Oryzias latipes: one gene and its partner. The main gene of each other region encodes a partner of the protein of the gene in region 2 in a complex. Links are inferred from orthologs where the notes say so. Each region holds a gene or a part of one and is shown on either strand. Other genes may lie near its edges.

Region 1 (9,827 bases), on a different chromosome or scaffold from region 2:
GAAGAAAAATGCATTGAACATATTCATTCTGCCGATAATTATTTTAGCCTTTTATTTGTTATTTATTGTGTATTTTCAGTGGGATTTTTAAAATGATTTTTTTATATTATAGAGTTATGGTAAAATAAGTTCCCCTTTGCTGGATCATTAAAGTTTAATTGCATTCTGATTTGACGTGAGTGGCCAACACGGAGGAATTAGGGTGTAACACCCCACAGCAGAGCTGGACTGCTACTGAAAAACCATCTGATGAAGGTCAAAGTAAGAGTTGTAAGCATGAACGGACAGTGGGATGGAGAGGGTTAACCTAGAGCTACCTTCAGTAGAGCCCAGGCTTCATCTGAAGGATCTGCTTCATGTTTAAATAAAGTTTGATTTCCAGCCTTAGGCAGAAATCAGTTTCTTACTGAACCCAGAAGGTGAGGGATAAATGTCCGTATGCGGGTTAGAAGTTGGATTCACGCTGTCGTCCCTCCTCCTCCCTGCAGTCTCCCACAGTCAGATCACTCGACTCTACAGCCGCTTCACCAGCCTGGACAAAGGGGAGAATGGCACGCTCAGGTAAACTACAACCCAAACACCCTGAAAAGCAGCTTAGACATTGGCGGGATGGCTGTGCATCAGCGGTTCGGCTTAACCTGTGGCTTCAAACCTCCGGGGCGGGCGTCCTGCTTCATTTCACACACGGCCGCTCAGTTTCTTATTGGGGGGGGGGTGCCTGATCCAGGAAAGTAGCTGCAGGTGGAGCAGGGATTTGTGGGAAAGGGCAGGAATGGACTTTGACTCAATGAAATGCTTCTCCAGGAAGTCAAAACGAGGTCAGACGTTCCACGTTCTGAGTGTTGGAACATTGTTCTGTTTGGTTCTCAGCCTGACGTCTTTGTGGTCAGGCTCAGGCCGCGTGACAGAACGATAAACCATAGATGATAATTAAGCAACAAGCAGCTGAGTTGGCTGCGAGGAGACCGGGTCAGACCGGGTCAGACCGGGTCGGCTGCAGGCCACAGGTCAGCGATTCAAGGACAGAACAAGCAAACATTTCATGGAACTCTGACTGTCCTAAGAAGCTGTTGACACATCACAAGCGTTGCTGCAGTTCTTCTCATCTGTGGTCTTCAGGCCGTGTTGATGCAACAGAATGAACAGAAACATCAAAGAACTCTGAACAACCAGGACTGTGGGTCGGTACCGACGTGGAGATCCGGTTCACGGATCAGACTAGGATATTTACTGTTTATTATATCCTCTTTGACTCGTTCCCACATGTGTCTTTTACTGGATGTATGAAATGAAACTAATAATTAGCATCATCTATACCTTTTTTATTTAGAACAGGGGACCGAAATCAACAGAACACAAAGATTTAGAAAGAAATGGTTTCAGCAAAAGATTCTCCGTCATTTTCCTGCTTCACTTCAGCAGGAGACCAAACCTAAACATCGCCGTCGTTTCGGATCTTTTAACAACAAATCCTGAAAATGTTCTCCACAGTTTTCCTGCTGTCTGCAGCTCCCGTAGATCCACGAGAAGATAAAACTAGAAAAAACTCTCTGTCCTTTTAGAAAATAAAAACACTTTAGAACATGTAACAGACGTTTTCGGTTCGGCTTCTCCATCACGCTAGCAGACCGTCACATGACGTGACACGAGTCACGCCGTTGATCCTGAGATCCTTATTAAAATATTTTTAATTAAAAAGTCTTTATTTTTTTACATTAAAATGATCCACTTTTTCTTTCTTTCCAGAACTTGTTTCACTAAACCGAACTTCAAATAAAAACACTCCGTAGTTTTACTTTGACAATAACAACCTTCACAAACACTTTATTTTGAAAATGTATATTTACTTCCTGTTTGTTTACATTATTCTGCAACTATAGAGTGATAATTACATTTTCTGAAGTGTATTTTTTTACCGTGCTTTCCAATATTTCTAAAGATCATGAATCCCTGATCTCAAACATCACAAATATTTGTTTTTGTCTGGAATAGACGGCGAGTATCCGAGTATTCGAATACTCAAAAGTCCTCCCCATAAGTGACTTTGGAAGTGAAAGAATAAAAATCTCTTTATTCCACTATAAAAGTTTTAACTCTGAGGAGCTGAACTTTAATTTGAGACTAAAGTGTCACGCCTGATTTGAGAGGCTTGTTAAGTTCAGTTTTACAGTAACTTCATCTTAAAAACCTCCTCTGAAGTGCGTGTGATGTCATTTCCTGCCGTCTTTCACGGTGACCTTGCTCTGACGTCTGCAGCCGAGAGGATTTCCAGAGGATCCCGGAGCTGGCCATCAACCCTCTGGGAGACCGAATCATCAACGCCTTCTTCCCCGACGGGTGAGTCTGGACTTTGTGACGATGGCGGGCATACTTTAAGAAAATTAGGCTTTAAATTGAATTTTTTCGTCTCTCTTTTTTCAAATCTGTGTGAATCCATGCAACGGAAAATAAATGCAGTTTGAAAAAGATCGTATTTGTGACTTGGCAAATATGCTGCTTCTAGCTCCGCCCCTTTTTGATCCTCCACCTGCAGACCAACAGATCCATGAACGTCTTTGTTTTCCACGTCTGAGCTGGAATCTGGATCAGAACTGGACGACTGGATAGCTCTGACATTGCTGCCATTTTTGTTGCATGGCTAATGTTAGCTTGGGGGGGGGGGGGGTGAGGGCTGTAAGCTAGAGGGAGAGAGTGTAAACATAAGGATGTCGGGAAATAGACCAGCCCAACTCGGAGGTGAATTTCTAATGAACTCCCGTCGCTCTGCAGAAACTACGTCCTAGAAAAGGTTTTTCTCATTAAAACACTTTAAAGATCCGTCAAAGTGATGGCAGTGGGACTTCAAAGCTAAAAAAAGAGCAGATGTGGTCGGGTTCCATGATTTGTGTGGGTTTTAACTGCAGCCCGGGTTTGTGTCGGCTTTAGGTTTCTGTTTTCTGGCTCAGACTGGTTTGTTTTTGTCCTGGTTTGTGCCTCGGTGTCGGGTTTCCCGCCCCGTTTCTGAGCTGAACCGACGGGTTTTTCAGAGAGGATCAGGTGAACTTCAGAGGCTTCATGCGGACCCTGGCTCACTTCCGGCCGGTCGAGGACAACGAGAAGAACAAGAACCTGTCCAACACGGAGCCGCTCAACAGCCGCACAAACAAACTGCACTGTGAGTCCGCCCCTCCCTCACAGACGCCCACCCCCTGGACCTTCACCGCATTGATGTGCTGATGCTTTTCTCCACAGTTGCCTTCCAGCTGTACGACCTGGACCGGGATGACAAAATCTCTCGGGACGAGTTGCTGCAGGTGGGAGCCGCTTTAGCCCACGGAGACACCCGGGTTTGTTACGTAGGGGGGGGGGGGGGGGGGGGGGGGGGGGGGCGGTTTGGGTTAAATGTGCAGCTCCAGGCGCAGCTGGCTGGACCGGCCCTGTTGTGTAACGTTTGCTCTGCAGACTTTGGCCTCGTGCAGATAATGCCGCCGTCCTCCGGTCCGTCTGGCTCCTCCCCGGTGGTGACCTGTAATTGCTGTGAGCTCGCGGTTACGTGACTCGCACAAATACCTTGTTTTGATCAAAACAGCAGAGCGTCACCTGATTCTGGTTGTTTGTGAGCCGTTCCACTAAACGCTCTGTTATTTAGAATCATTCCAGCAGAAAAGCTGCAAATGAGTGTTTCTGCAGAACACATCATCAGCGCTTGTTTGGATCACAGCGGCCGTGTCCTCGCGGTCGTCCTCAGCCGTTTGCTGTCTCCAGGTGCTGCGGATGATGGTGGGCGTGAACATCTCAGACGAGCAGCTGGGCAGCATCGCCGACAGGACCATCCAGGAGGCGGACACCAACGGAGACGGATGCATCTCCTTCACCGAGTTCATCAAGGTTTGCAGCTCCGCCCACATTCCAGGAACGTGAACACGATGGAGAATCAGGGCCACCAGGAAACAGGAAAATGGGAATAAAGTCATTAAAAAAAGTAACAATTCTGTGAGATGGAAATTGTACATTTATATTTCAAAACGTTGTAATTTTACAAAGAAAAAGTCTTGTTTTAACAAAAAAATTACAGAAATGAGGAACGTCGAAAGATCAGGAAAAGCCAAAATTCTACGGGAATAAAATTATACATTTAAGTTGCAATTTTACAAGACAAAAAAACAAAGTTGTACATTTATTTTAAAAAGTTAAGGCAGATTCTGTACAATTCTTGTGCAGTGAAGCTTTAAAGCAAAATGAAACATTTTAATTCTGAAAAAACGTGAATTTTCTTTGCCGAGTTATATTTTTGAAGCATAAATTTATTATTTCATTCTTGTAATTAACATTTTTCTCATAACTGTATGACTTTATTCTCATATTTGTGTGTTGTGGTGCCTCTCATAGTCCATCGTACATAAATTTGTGGAGGTTTTCAAAAATATATTTGCATTTGTAGCTTTAGATCCTGATCTCCCTTCTAAAATTCTCCTCTGTTTTTCAGTGCCGTTTAAACACAAAGGTAATGTCTAACGTAATGTTAATTTTTAACAGATAATCAGAATAAACTTGGCCTGAAACTGCAACCTGCCTCTCCCTGTGAAAACAACCTGCAGTTCATCGAGTGACCACCAGGCGGCTCGTTAAACTTTCTCTACAGTTTAACAGGTCAAATGTCAGCAGGTGGCATCAAACTTAAAGTCGACATTTTTAAAACAGCTAAAGTAAAAATCCCAGTGAATTCTGCAGCTCTTTTCGTCCCATATTAGTTTGAGCTAAAATGCTAACGTTAGATTTGGACAAACATGAGGGGGAGTGTTTTATTAAATCTACCAGAACGGGCCGCCAACACCGTGACCTTTTTGTTTCCGTGAGGTGTTGACACAAACAATGTGTCTGGATGTCGTCTGTGTTTGGTGAGTTCTTGTCCTTCTGGTTGAGGACGATCTGGGTCAGGGTTCCCCAAATCCAGGCCTACGTGTTTTCCAACCAACCTGCCATTAAAGCTCCTTATTGGCTAAACACACCTGATCCAGGTAATCAGCAGCAAATCAGGCAGGGCCCTCATGACCTGGATTTGGGGACCCCTGGTCTGGGGGATTCCTTCCAGCATCGGTCCTGCAGGTCTCACATCCTTGTTTTTTTTTGTTTCCTCAGGTCTTGGAGAAAGTGGACGTGGAGCAGAAGATGAGCATCCGGTTCCTGCACTAACTCTTTCTTTTGTTTTACTTCTTAAAATGAGTCCAAACTTTTTTTTTCCTCCATTGATGCCAGAAAAATGACTTCATCCAGCGCCTCAGATGGCTGCCACTGCTCCCCCATTACCGCAGTAAATCTCCCGCCTTTGCACTGCTTCGCTAACGTAGGGAAACGTGTCAGTGTGTTTCCCACCATGCAGCATCATAGAAACAGCTTTTCAGTGGGCATGAGATCAAGAACGTCTTCACCTTTCAGACGCAGTTCACTCCTGCTGCTCACGTTTCACACGCTTCTGTATTTGTATGCAGCAGTTCAGACAGCAGCACCATTTCCAAATCAAAGCCAGCCGCTGGAGTGTCTTTGATTCTGTAAAATGTCGGCTCTAGTTTGTTCTCATGTAAAACAATAAGTGATTTATTCCGGTTGTTGTTGGTTAACCAAAGCCGAACCCGCTGACGTCAGTATGAGCATAGGAGTCTTGAATTCACGCCTGACAGCCGCTGGACTTCATGTCAGAAGGATTTAACGCGTTTTCCCGCTGTGTAACTGCTGGATCTGATGCATAAAACGGTTTTCCTTTTTCCTGTTTCAAGTGCAAATGAGGAAAAAACACTATTTTATTTATTTCCCATCTTATCTGCTCCAGATCTGCTTTGTGTCACGTGGCATTCGAACTTTAAATACGATGTAATCTATAATGTCAGCCAAATCCTCTGGAGGATGAAAGCGTTATTAAACCAAAATCAGCTGTTATTTGTATTGTATGTTGATATTAAAGTGATTTCTGAATCAATTTGAATAAACAAGGTGCCATTCATCTGGTTGTGTTGTTTTTAACAATATTTCATGTGCACAAATATGTAGAAAAGATGCGTAATCTGTTGGTTAAATCGAAGCTAAACAATGAACTAAAATTATAAAGGTTATTATTTTAGCATAATTGTGCTGCAATAACTCAAGAGGACGGATGGGAGGAAGTTGATTTACTTCCGGGGCGGGGCTTACATTTGATGGACAGCTTCCCGCTCCAATCCCAGGGTCCTCCTGTTGGCTCGTAGCCGCGGAGCAAAGATGGCGTAGAGCGGAGGGAGCGGGACCTCCTTCTCCCCCCACCCCCCCGTCTTTGGCGTGAACTTGGGGGAGAGAAGGAGGTTCAGTGAGTTTTATTTTTTATTTTTTTACGGAGGTTCCTCGGCGGCGCAGCTCTGCCTCCGAATAATCCCGTCAACCCCGGTTTCCTCCCACCCCGGCCTGGCGCCACAGAGGAGGCAGCCCGGCTTTGTTTACCCCCGCGAGAGGCTCGGAGCTCGGACCAAACGTCTGCGTCTCATCGGATCATCGACTCATCCAAGGTCAGAGGCTCGTGCTTCCCGCCTTTCACTCGACCTTAACCCGCCTTTCCCCGCAGCTTCGCCGTTTCTGCCCATTGGGTCTGTTTTTGTAGCCCATTTTTGAACACTTTACCGTCTTTTATGTCTAAATTATACTTTAATTATGTTTTTTTTGTATAAAAGGTGATGCTGAAATAGCAAAAATACAAATAATTAAGCTTTTGCAGTCTATTCAAATGGAATCAATGTAGAAACGCTTGAGCTTTTAAAAGTAAAAAATGCGGATAATTTAATTATTACATTTATGATTTTAAGATCCACTCCTATAAATATCGTATTATTTGTGTTTGAAAATGTTTTTGTAGAATTTTTTTGATGCAAGTTATTTATATCGCTGTTTGAAGCTCAAAAATGGCAGTTCTTAGTATTTTCTTTATTTCGATTGTTGTGAATCAGGAGCAGACGGAAAAAATGCTGTTTAAACATATATTTGTGACGTAGAAAATACGGTGGGCGGGGCCACAACCTCCCTCCTCGGCTCCTTTTTAATCCCCCTGCAGACAAAATGTTTTTTTTGTTTTCCTCGTCTGAACTGGAATCTGGATCAGATCAGATAGGTCTGGATCTCCATCGTTGTTGCGGTGCTAATGTTAGCTTGAGGGGCTGTAAGCTAGCAGTGTAAAGGGAAGGATGTCGGGAAGCAGGGGCAGGCTTACCCCTCCCACACCTCAGAGGTGAATTTCTAATGAACTCCTGCTGCTCTGCAGAAACTTTGTCCAAGAACATATTGCCTAAAAAAGGCATCATCTTAATGAGAAAAAAAGAAAATAGATCAAAAGATGGTCGGAGTGGGACTTAAAGGCATAGGAAAAATAAAACATTTGTCAAAAGAGGATCAGGTTTTCATTAAAATGTTTGAGTGATAATTTCTTCTTCTGAGGTGTTTTTAGTTGAACTGAACTCCTGCTTTTGAACCATAAACTCCAGGCGGCGGAGAGGTGAAGCTGAACCGGAGACATGTGTGCCTTCAGAACAGACCCAGCACCACCGCCGTGTCCTCCACCCCTCACAGAGGAGCCCACAGGACCCCAGCAGCTGTCTGGATGACCTCCTCCTCTACGTGGGCTCTCCTCGCCACTGGTGATGGCTCCTCCACGCCATCGCCTCTCGTTCGGACCCAGGTCTTCAGCCCCATCCGCAAAGAGCGGCGGTAAATGTTAGGAGATGGCGTGAGATCAGGCTAAAGATTCAACACACATTCACCGTTTCTCTTTTGTTTTGTTGCCTTTTTCTTATAAAATGAAAAAGGAAACCCATCAGATCCAAGCAGTCGGACGGGAAGCTCCACATCCGTTCCTTCTTATTTTTGTAAATAAAGTTTAGACACGAGAAACTGTAGCAAAGATGGAGTTCTGTGATGCGATCGAGTCACTGCTTCTTCCTTTCCTTTGTGGGTTTGTGCTACCTCACAGCCACAGCCGGTCCAGCAGCATCCAGGAAGTCCGGCGGAGCTTCGATTTGATCAAGTTCAGAGAAGATCCGCCACTTTCCTCATCATTGTCTGCATGCGTAGAGCCGGATTAGGCGGCAGCATCCATCGTCTCTGATGCAGTTTACAGTCTTTCCCTCCAAACACACGACGTCCTGAGCGCGCTGAGGGGGCCAGTCTGCCCGTTTTCATTTCTTTAGGACTGACGGTCATCAATCATAAGAAATAAAACAAAAGAAGAAAATCTCTCTTTACCGGGATCTGTGCAATATTTGATCTAAACTGTCATGTTGACCAACATGTATATTGTATAAACAAGTGACAAGTTGTTTGAAAGCAACAAAATCACCAATGTCTTCCATTAAGAGATGTATAGACTCATGTGCATTAGCTTCTTTAGCAGTGGTGCCAATATTTATCGTAGCCATGCATGACCAGTAGTGACGCTTGCTTCATGAAGAGTCTTAGCCCAATCGGGTTTCTGAGCAAACGCGAGTCCGAGAAAACAAAGCAGCTGCAGGTCGACTGCAGTGCAGCGTCTCTCCGCCCGTATCTTTCAGGACGTTTGACCAAATCTGGCTTAAAGAAATCCATGAGAAGCTGTTGGTCCGATTGGGGCCAGAGCTTTCTGACTGAGATGACTGCTTTGTACATACGACCTCGTGGTTCTAGGACTGATTTTAGTCCTTATAATTGTATTTTATTAGAGTTTTAGAAGCAATAACCTCCAATAATGCATGATTTAGCGCCAGGCTCTTTGTATTTACAGGATTGTGTAAGATCCCATCAAGAACTCCCTTATTTTTAACGCGTCGTCCCGATAAATCTCCCGTTTCTTTACCCGTCTCGTTGCTTTAAGTGTTTGGGCTTTAAACGAACGCGTCCATGAAGCGCCAGGAACACGAAGATGCTTTAACCTTGACGTTTTGTAGCATGTTGGAGCCCGTCCCTCCAGCCAAGCAGACTTTCAGAACCCGTGCAGGACTCTTTTGTCCCGGAGCGGTCTCACACCGCCGCCGCCTAACGACTCCGTCCCAGAGACTGGGTCACGCCGTTTCTGGAACTCCTAGTTTAACGCCCACGCAGGCGTCTTGTCACATGACTATATGGGTTTAAGAATATGCATGATTAGCAGATTAATGAATGATTTGTATTGCATGCAATAAACCAACTCTGTAATGTGAATGTTAGGATAAGGCGATGCTCAGACCTGCTGTCCCGTGGACTCACACTGACGTAGCTGCAGCCCGTGGTCACGCGCCGCTGGTCACGATGAGGGGGGGACTCACCAAAAAGTAGAAGCACAGATCAAGCTGTGACCAGGATGTGGTTTTGGTGATCAAGTGTGGAAACTATGCACTCCAGAGGGAGGAAGTGGGCATGCTTGTTATGTGTGAGCCTCTTGTCTGGTTTTGTATTCACTCTAAATATGAGAATAAAAAAAAGAAACGGACATTCAGCAATAAAATGCAGCATGGTGCCAACTGGACTGGTGTGTGTCGCTGTTCTTTTCACTTCTATCTCCTGTAGTGAAGGACGTCCCGTTGGTTAACGTCCCACTCCGGTCACCTGATCATAATAACGATGCTGTTTTTAGCCACAATAGATATCAATCGTTTTCTTGGATGCAGAGCAGCAGGAGTTCATTAGAAGTTTGCCCCTTGGGTTTTGGCAGGACTGTTGGTGTGGAACAACCCCGCCCCTCTTCCCTTTCTCCATTGCATAGGAGCTTAGGACCCGCCTAGAATATTTTCTACGTCTTTTACAGCCATTTAGCATCTGCTCCTGATTCTCAATTATTTGAATAAATGCTCATACATGCAGTTTCCCCCCTATTTTAATGTTCT
Region 2 (9,891 bases):
AGACATAAATATTTTGAGAAAGTATTTTTATATACATATAAACATATCATATATATGTATAGATGTAAAATATAGTGGATATAAAATAGATATCTTTTAAGAATTTTAGAAAACCTGACCTGTTGTTTGAGGAAAAAGGTCTCATTTAATATTGAGTAAGAAAATCTCTGAATTTAAAAGGACCTTTACATGAAAATAATTGTGAAGAACACATTCAAAATCTAATATGAACTCGCTGAGAGGAGAGCTCAGTCTGTAATCCTACTTTTTTTGCTCGTCTAGTTATTCCCCATGTGCAGACTGTGTCAGCGTGAAAACAGGTCAGTGGAGAACACGCACCACTTCAGAGAGTGGAACCACCGAAAGCCATGCAGAGCTGAGATGTGTAACGTGTTGGGACATGATCATCTTCAGGATCAGTTGCTAAACTTGCCGTTGGTGATGAACCAACATATCTTTAGGAGTTGTTAGATGATTCAAGAATATCCGACGTTGATGGTGAAGCTGTGCTGTAAGAAGATTTGCAGAAGATCAGGACTTCTGTCTGTGAGAGGCTGAATTGAAGATATTTTTCTCTCACTTCATGAAGGTCCAGCCATAAATTAAAAAAGAACGCATCAGGTTAACTTCATGTCCTTATTTGATCTGGTGTCTCAGCTTTAAATGATTCAGATTTTGATTGATTTCCTCTACAAACCAGGAAACCGATCAATCATGGTCTGATAACTGGATCCCATGCAGAAACTTTAATCTGTCAGTGGTTGGAGTATCAGCTCATGTGTGCTCTAATAAAGCTGGAAAGTGAGCCGACCCTGAGCCTGACAAAGTTCACGTCCTTCTGAAACTGTAAATCAACCATTCTCATAACGGTTGACCTAATGAATCCCGCTCAGAAGGTGTGAGTTGCTTGATGACGTCAGCAGCTCTGTGCTGGAGGTCGACTTCTCTGTGAACAAAGAGGTTCAGCAGAGCTGCTGTTCTTGTTAGTACGCAGATCAGAAAAATGAAACTGTGCTCAGTGAAACGTGTCATCTGTGACTTCAGGCACAAACGACAAAATAGATGGGAACCAGTAGGTTCACACCTTAGCTTTTACCTGAGTTTTTTTTTTTTACCTCAAATTTGCTTTAGGTCAAATGATTAAGGAAATGAGGTTATGCTTATCTTATACTAAGTCATTAGCCTTGTAAATCAATTTTTGTTCCTAGAGGTATCCGGAACCTTTGATATTTTTTTAACTTTATTTCCTTCTGCCAGAACCAGAATAAAGGAGATCTTTGTGAAAAGAGAAGAATACTTAAATTAAATTCCCTGAAGGACTTTCTTTTATTAATCTTTCGTCATTTTCTTTGGCATCCTTGCAGGATCTGACATTCCTTTGTGTAAAATACCACAAAGAGGCATCTCTCAGTTCAGGATGGTAAAAGGACAGTTTCTGAATGTTAGTGCTCAGATTTCATTTTATTGGGTGGAGGTTCAGACTGTTATTTTTAACCTGGTCTTTGTTTTTTAAACTAATAAAAAGTGTGTAATTTATAACTCAATTGTCAACAAATACGGTAAATCAGAAAAAAAAAGTCAGTGTTAAATCTGCTTTCCATTAAAAGGTTTTATTAAAGTATTTTTTTTAAATACAACAATCTTTATTTTCAGAATATTCTTTGTTTCAATTCCATTTGGAATAATATGGATCAAAGTCACTGCAAGTCATTAAACTACAAATCTGCAGATAACAGCTAATTTTATTTATTACTTTTTATTTTGTCTTCACAACAGTCATCAAAGATATGTTTGCGGGAAAAACTAAAAATGAAATCTTGTTTCTTTCTTAGTTAGTTAAAAGGAAAAGTTCATGTATGTACCTTTTTTTCCAAGCTTTACTCCTATTCTGATCCAGAATTCAAATTTTCTGCTATAGTTCTTAAAATATTTATATTTTTTTAAATAATTTGACCCATAAAGATATTTTTTTTCAAACTTAAAAATAAATCTTCCTTCACTTTTCTTTGGATGACAACTCCTCTTTGTCTAATCTGAAGCTTGCAGGTTTTGTTTTCCCCCCCAATTATGGCAGAATTTGATATTTCCTGTTCTTCTTAGCTACAATATCGCGTTCAAACTTCTTCCTTCAGGTCTACCCAGACCGATTCTGGATGAGAGTTCTAAATGTTCACAATAACTTAAGTAAATGACAGCCTAAATAGTAATTCACTCAATAGAAGATGAAGTCAACTATGAATGCAGACCAGTGTGTGTCTTTAAAACGCCTAAAAAGGTTTCTGATTCATCCCAGAATGGCACTAAAATCTTGTTTTTACTCTTAAGCTGAAATAAATGTTCCCAACCTTATCTGCACAAGTAGCAATTTTATTAATAGTAATTTTAATGTTTGCTTTTCACTTCTAAATCAATCTTTAGATTATTTGTTTGAATGCACTTTAGTGGGAAACTGCTGCATCAGGAAGTTTTTACAGAACATCAAGGTTTACTTATTACACTACAAAATATTTCATAATTCAAACCAGACCCTGCAGGTTCACTGAACGGCTCAAACGATGACATCTAGTGGCTCAAAGTGTCAATTGCTGTAAAAATCCAGGTATTTCAGGTCATCAATGAGAATAAAAAGAATTTGGTTTTGGATTTCTTTAAACATACCGGTATGTCAATTTTTTTTATTTTTACATATTTCCACACCTCTAAAAATAGTAAAATAGTTTGAATTTGAACAGAAAACAGAATTGCAACTTTTTCTAGTGACCTGTCAGATTATTAATAATAATAATAATATTGATACTTTATTCATCCCACAATCGGAAATTCTTCTCCGCATTTGATCCATCCCCTGGGGCAGCGGTGAGCTGCAGCTGAACCGTGCTTGGGAGGCAGTAGCATTAAGGGTCTTGCCCAAGGGCCCCCACTGGGTGATGTTAATTGCTCACCATTGATATGGTAATTGCCTCCAGTACCATTATTTATTCAATTTAATCGAACCCTGGATTCCTGCATGACAGCCCTCTACCTTACCAACCAGGCTACCTAGCCGATTCTAGATTCTCATCCAAATGAAGCTGCCCTGACCCGGACCGGGGTTCTGCAGGACGACTGAAGAAGGAACCGAGCGGAACACCTGTATCACGTGGAGCGTGGTCCCATATTTATGCCAGTAAATGTCAATGTCGTGCACGCCCCTTCATTTACATTGTCCACATGGCTGTGACTCATTTACACCTGTTGTGTATACAGGAATGGCCACTGCCAGTGTTTTGTAAAGACAGCAGCACAAGTTTGGCAGCTGGGCTGATACTCGGGGAGGTCAGATTGTCCTTTAATGTTCGGCTGTGACCCAAGTTTTCATGTCCCTTGTTGGTGTCACCCCATAACATTTAGAATGCTTCACCATCTTCGGGCTAAACTGAGGACTAAAGGGGAGGAGCTTCATATTTGCCCTCCAGACCTTAGAGTCATGTTCAAAGCAAATTCTGTCCTCAGGACTTTCAATTTTCTTTTAGAATCACAGGAAAACAAAGACAAAAACAAAATCTGAAAAGGAAAGTCTGTGAATTTTGTCGAGTATTTAGAACTGGATTTTTCAACCAATAGATCGTCAGGTGTGGCATGAGAAATTGTCTAATTTTAAAGAATTTGGGGGAAAACATTTATCATTGCAGGGATATCGCCTCTATGTTCATCCAAACGTGCCCAGGTTTCACATTGAGCAGAATTAAGCATAACGGATCATCGTTTTCTTTGTGTTTATTTAATTCTTATTCCAGACCCTTCAGAGCTTCCTTTTATTTTGTTGTATTTTTAGTTGGTGGTGCACCATGTGATTTTTATCAAGGAAAAAGTTTACCTTGACCCAAAAAGATTGAAAAACACTGATTTAGAAGACAGGAAGAGAACATCCCAGTCAAAAAACTCTCTTGAAGAGCGTTTCTGCTGTTCAGTTGGATTTGAGTTCCGCTTTTTTTTTCCTTTATCCATCACACCCTGTTTAAGATGCCAACAACAGCTGGTTCGGGTTCTTTTCTTCTGAACCTCTTCTTAGCTTAAAGGAGCTGCCCCAGTAACACCAGAGGATGAGTCGTTGATCACTCCCTGCTAAGTTTACCTCTTAACATCAACTCTTCACAAACCCCACCTGACTGATCTGACCAGCAGGAGGTGTGTGTGTGTGGGGGGGGGGGACCTTTGAGTGTCACCCCATTAACCTACTTTGTTTACTCCTGGAAGGAGGATCCATATTCTTGCTTGGCCATTCCTTACAGGCAAGTTCACCTGACTGGACTTTTCTGACCTGCATCATCTGAATCCATCACCTGACCTGGCTTTTGTTTGTATTTGGGGCATTAGTTTAACCCCTTGTTTCAGGCAGTCTTTCAAAACCCTTCAAATTTGCTGAACTCCTGAAGCTGGGTCGGTTCCGACAGGTGGGTGGGAGAGATGTTGGCCCTGAGATGTATTGTTGTTTTAATCGGGTTTGTGGATGTCACTTTTCTCATCACTGCTTTCAGCTTTGATTGTTTGTAACATTTCTAAATGTTTCACCAGAGTTATGCAGAATAAAATGATTATGTTGCTTTGTTGTCTGCTGCAGGTACGGTTCACTCACACGAAACTATAAAAATAACAACTGTTATGCTTTTATGAAATTATTTTATAGTAATAAAAAAGGTTGTTGTTGTAAAGTATATTTTTAGTCTTTGTCACAAATTAATCTAACTAGTTTTAGTTCAAAGTTTTACCTTTAAAAATATTCTATCATAGAATTTTTTTGACATTTAAAATAAGTTAATAGATCATTTCTTTAAATGGGTTTTAAGACATACATATTTTAGGAACATATTACATATATTCTAAAATTTAGTACATTATATATATATATATATATATATATCATTTTTTTATTTTTAAGAATTTGATAACACTTGAACTGTTGCTTGAGGAGAAAGATCTCATTAAAGTTTTAGTAAGAAAATCTCTGGATTTAGAATGACCTTTATATGAAAATAATCGTGGAGAACACTCCTCGAAATCTAATATGCATTCACTTGAGCTCCAAGATTTTTGCTTTCTAGCTCAGTCTGTAATCCTACACTCTTTGCTCGTCTAGTTTTTTCCCATCTGCAGACTATGTCAGCGTGAATACAGGTCAGTGGAGAACATACACCACTTCAGAGCAAACCCTGATGTCCTCAAAAGATTTTTTAAGACTACCCTTATAGTGCGTCTGAATGAATCAATCAAATTTTGAACATTTTTAGCAAGCAAAAAATTCAACTTTTGATCTGGGTTGCTGCCATTTTCTCTTTTAATTTGAGAGACAGCGCAGAACAGTTCTCATGTAAAAACCTCTGAAGCCTTCAAATGAAACCAGAAGGGAAATACGTCTTCCCACTTCAGATAAAGACTCTCAGTTCCTACCCTTTCTAATGAAAGTCTGAATTGTCTGCTGCTTGGATAGTTTCTGCAATTGTACAAGCTTTTTTTAAATAAGAAAAATAAAATAAATCACTAAATCAGTTACCTGCTGCTTCAAAAAAGCCACAAAAATTATCTGTCATTTAGGAGGTGCTGATGCCTTCAGGATCCCTAAAGGTCAAGACCCATCAGAAATTGAGACTCACCCAGTTTGCAAAGCCAACAGACCAGGATCCACAGCGCCACCAGGTATGGCTGGGAGACGTGGGACCACTTCCAGGATACAATGGGTAGCGTGGTGATGACCGGTGTTTCGTGTCCAGTGCTGGATGTTGCATTACTGGGGCTCTGTGCGGTGTCATGGACCGGGGCCTCATTGGCTGAACTCAGACTTCTGGACATGACCACCAACAGGCAGACAAAAAACACAAATCCCCGTTTCCCCCCCATGGTCTCAAAATGCTTAAAAAAGTCCCCACAAACTCAGGAAGTTGTTAGTTTAACCATATGGAGGTCAGACAGCAGCTCCCACTACTTTCCACATCTCGATCATAATCCGTTTCTTCAGTCATCTACATCTTCAACAAACTAGAAGTTGTCAGGTTGTTCTGCTCTGCCTGTCAGGGATGCAGGTTTTACTGTAGGTGAGGCTCAACCCATTCTGATGCTGCTCTGGCTCCTCCCACTCTATTCCTGACCAGCTTGTTTAGCCACTTTCCTCAAAGAGGGACTTGATGCTCAGTGACTGTATTTCCAGCACCGTCTGACCTTCCAGTGAGACGCAATTAAATGATATAGAAGAACCCAGTTATTTCCACAACACTGCAGTTCTTGTGTCAACTGTGTTTGAGTGTGAAGTGTCCTAATACACTCTTTACACGCCACTTTTTGCTATTTACTCACGGTTTCTGGCTGAGAAATTTCTCAGAGCAGGTGACTCCACCAATTACCAATTAAGCATATGTTTAAAAACGTGGTCACTGATGAGAAAACCAGCAGAGATGACGGCAGCAAAAACAAAGTGCTAATTGCTTTATAAAATTCTTGACACTATATGAAGAAGTTCTTGCTCTGGAATCAATGCCAAAACAAACACAGGCTTTTCTGAGCAGGTCAGACTTGAGTCCAACACCTAAGAACCAACTTGCCTCAAATGTCCTTTAACCCTTGTGCTATCCTATGGGGTCCAGATGACCCAATCCTCACATTGACGTGTTCTCCCTACCATGACAAAGGTGGATAAAGGAGAAGAGGATTTCGTGTTATCCATGGACACCAGTGAAGATCACAAATCATTGAAGAAAAAAGATTTTGGGGTCTAGATGACCCCACTCCCAGTGTTAGAGTGCCTAAGATAGCACAAGGGTTAGGGTATAAAAGAATCTCTGTTTCATATGAGCTGAGAAGATAACATTAAAATTTACATCCTTAATTTAAAAAGAAAAAAAATCACTGAGGATCCACTTTAAACAGGCACCAATGGTTCGGCCAATGAAAGAGACCCACTTCAATGAAAACTGTGTTCTTGTGGTATTTTTCTGATGGTGGAGGACATATAAAAGAAAATTAAAGCTTAAAATGGCATTTATGTGTATTACTTTATTCAAATCGTGAATCCGGATGTAAATGACGACACAGATCTTTTGATTTTGCTTATTCTTTTCATATTCCAGCATCTTTTAACTTCAAGTAATCTTTGTGACGTGTGGATTAAGAGTTTGAATCTGTAACATAATTTCACAGTTTTTAAAATTAATTGCAGATTTTTGTCTCAAATATGAAACCAAGAAATTATTTTGAAATAATTCATTTTTCACCCTATCATCTTGTTCAATAGATAGGGTTGATTAAACAGGGTCATGTCAGGTGACCCAATAAAACTTTATTGATCCAACCTCTAACAGCGTCTTCCAAAGAAAAAGATTATTTCCTTTAACTCCTTATTTCTCAGTTTCAAACATTATATTTTTACTTCAGTCTAATCTTATGAACGACAAGCCCAACGTTTCTGCTTGAAGTGATTCATTTCTGGAAGGACAAATGTTGCAAGTGATGAGGCAAATCCCAGAGACATCGGGTGAAAGATGAAAGAAACGAGTACGGAAAATGATTTGCCCCATTAGTCTGCTTTATTGGAAACCAGCACCTGCATCCATCAGCGCGCTGTTGAGCCTTCATCCCCTCTGTTGTGTTTAGGTGACAGAAACCAAAGAATGACCCTGAGTTTCAATGATCACGTTCTGTCCTGGGACCTTTTGTAATCCAGGCTTTTCCTTCCAGCTGGAAAATCATCATGTAAGTCTGAATAAATATATTTAATTTCTTTTAAATAGAAAACAATTTTTACATAATTAGGTTAGGGCAAAGTGCATCACTAGAAATTTAGTTTTTAGCCTAAAAATGTGCAGATTAAACATGATTATTTGGTTTAGAATTTCCTGTAGTTTGATCATTTCTAGTTTCTGCTCATCTTCTTCTTCCTTTTCTTTCTGGCCCTGTGAACATTGGTGACCTGTCCAGGGTGTTCCCCATCTTCGCCAACCAGTGGCTGGGATAGCAGTCCTGTGATCCCGAAGGGGTTTCAGCTGTTTCGGTAAATGGATGGACGAGATATCATCATCATCATCATCATCATTTATTTATTTATTTATAAAACACCGTCCACCACCAGCCAAGGAGGCCCAAAGTGCAGTAGACAGGGAAAACAAAACATTGCACAATCATAAAACGTAAAAGAATAAAAAGCATAAAAGCAAATTAAAACATTGTTGAGTCATAAAACATAAAAAGTATACCAACTGTCATGGTAACCCCGGGAGTCCTCTCCCCCCTTCCTTTGTTTCCACTGATTGGACCCAGCTGCCGGCACTTCCGTCATCAACCCCGCAGTATATCAGATGGCCTAGTCTAGTAGTCATCGCCAGTTTGTTGCCAACTATGGTGAAGTACCTGGTCTCATGTGTTCCTCGTTTGGTTCATGAAACTCTCGTTGTCTCTGAACCCGTTACTCAAGTTACCCTTCCTGTCTCTAGGACAAGCAACATCCACCAAGTGCCTGCCTGGGTCCAACTCTCGTCAAGATCCCTCAAGCCACCACAACATCAAGACCTCCAGCCACGCCACGACCTCCAGCCTTGCTCCGTCAGTGATCCGCAAGGTCCCCACTCAACTCGCCATGAAAATCTCAAGACAAAGACACCAGAATTTTAATAAAATATATGATAATAAAAAGATACAGATTTTCTTTCTGAAATTCATCATTGAAGAATCCAAAAGGTATTTTGTGTTAAATTAATTTAAAAAAAAGGCCAGATCTGCACATTCAAATAGAAGTCATTCTTTTGTTCAAACAACAATGAAGTAAAGCTTCAGCATTAAGAAACTCAGAAAGTTATCAAAGTTTAAACAAACAAGCATGAATTTTTTTCAGATTCTCAATGGTGAGGCCCTTTGTCTAAAGACAGCACGATTCCTGGTTTTAGATTGCTGAATCATTTTGTCTCCTTTGACACCATCAAAGCACTTGAGCTGTCATGTTGACAGTGAATCAGCTGCCGAGCCGTGTCATCCTCACGGTGATGTGTAAGGTCACCTCCAATGAGCGGGGGGTCTTTCTTCCATGGAAGCTACAAAAGGATTCAGGTTCTTTGCCTTTTCTATATAAAAACACAATTCATGAATCTTTTGTTTTTGGTATGACACTTTTTAGGTTTGCAGAGATGCCAAGAAAGGTTATGTGAGGATAAACTAGAAAAACTGCCTTTCCTACAGAGAACAAACATGAATGCTGACAGCTAAAACTGAATATGCTGAAAGACTACCAGAAACTTAGATGCTAAAATCATTTTCTTCAAGTTACTTGCCTGATGAATACATTTATATCATATATCAAATATCATATTTTATTATATTTTATCATAAATATTTATTCTTCAATCTTTTTATGTTTTATGATGTTTTATCACATCATTTTATCATTTTATTTGCTTAATCTAGAATTTTTAGTCTTGTATTTTATGACACTTTATCATATACATATATGTTTAATCTAGAATTTTACTTGTATACTTTTTATATTTTACCATTTATTTTATTAGGCTCATGTAAGAGAGGCCGACTCAGTTTGTACATTCAAAGCTAGACTTAAAACATTCCTCTTTGGACAGGCTTATTGTCAGACTAGTTAGTATTTAGAGATTATTTAACTTAATGTTAATTTGTTTAAATTAAACTTAATAACTTTTTCCTTTAAAAGGCTGCTAGAAGTTGAAGCTGGGGTAACTATGGTGCTCCGGGGTTCTGTCCTCTTTTCTTTTCTACTTCTACGCTTCCTCTCCTCTATTCTTGATCATAATTTATCATTTAGTTCTCCATGCCTCTGTTTGGTACAGTGCGATTCATGTATTGTCCCTCTTTTCCTCTCCCCTCCTGGGGAGTGGGAGTGCTTCCAGACTCCTGTTGGCTCAT

Evidence for each region.
Region 1: the proteins of slc9a3 (region 2) and chp1 are in contact, whole or in part, in a cryo-EM structure (PDB 7X2U), measured with the Homo sapiens proteins. The link is inferred for Oryzias latipes from reciprocal best matches to the Homo sapiens genes SLC9A3 and CHP1. Residues at the interface, in NP_004165.2 of Homo sapiens: Tyr396, Arg397, Met398, Gln400, Glu402, Arg474, Leu475, Asn476, Glu477, Leu479, His480, Gly481, Arg482, Ala483, Phe484, Asp485, His486, Ile487, Leu488, Ser489, Ala490, Ile491, Glu492, Asp493, Ile494, Ser495, Gly496, Gln497, Asn501, Arg504; in NP_009167.1 of Homo sapiens: Arg30, Leu31, Arg34, Leu38, Lys40, Glu49, Phe51, Gln52, Arg53, Ile54, Glu56, Leu57, Ala58, Ile59, Asn60, Pro61, Leu62, Asp64, Ile66, Phe70, Phe83, Leu87, Phe90, Leu115, Phe117, Ala118, Leu121, Tyr122, Leu135, Leu139.

What each region holds. Positions count from the first base shown.
Region 1 is NC_019880.2:1,741,529-1,751,355, forward strand, and holds the end of chp1 (calcineurin B homologous protein 1), read left to right. Parts: intron 1-488; coding exon 489-561; intron 562-2,256; coding exon 2,257-2,337; intron 2,338-3,026; coding exon 3,027-3,154; intron 3,155-3,231; coding exon 3,232-3,293; intron 3,294-3,744; coding exon 3,745-3,867; intron 3,868-5,118; coding exon 5,119-5,172; 3' UTR 5,173-5,977; downstream 5,978-9,827. UniProt on the Homo sapiens protein: Calcium-binding protein involved in different processes such as regulation of vesicular trafficking, plasma membrane Na(+)/H(+) exchanger and gene transcription. Involved in the constitutive exocytic membrane traffic.
Region 2 is NC_019869.2:19,311,468-19,321,358, forward strand, and holds the start of slc9a3 (sodium/hydrogen exchanger 3), read right to left. Parts: upstream 6,042-9,891; 5' UTR 5,875-6,041; coding exon 5,631-5,874; intron 1-5,630. UniProt on the Homo sapiens protein: Plasma membrane Na(+)/H(+) antiporter. Exchanges intracellular H(+) ions for extracellular Na(+) in 1:1 stoichiometry, playing a key role in salt and fluid absorption and pH homeostasis.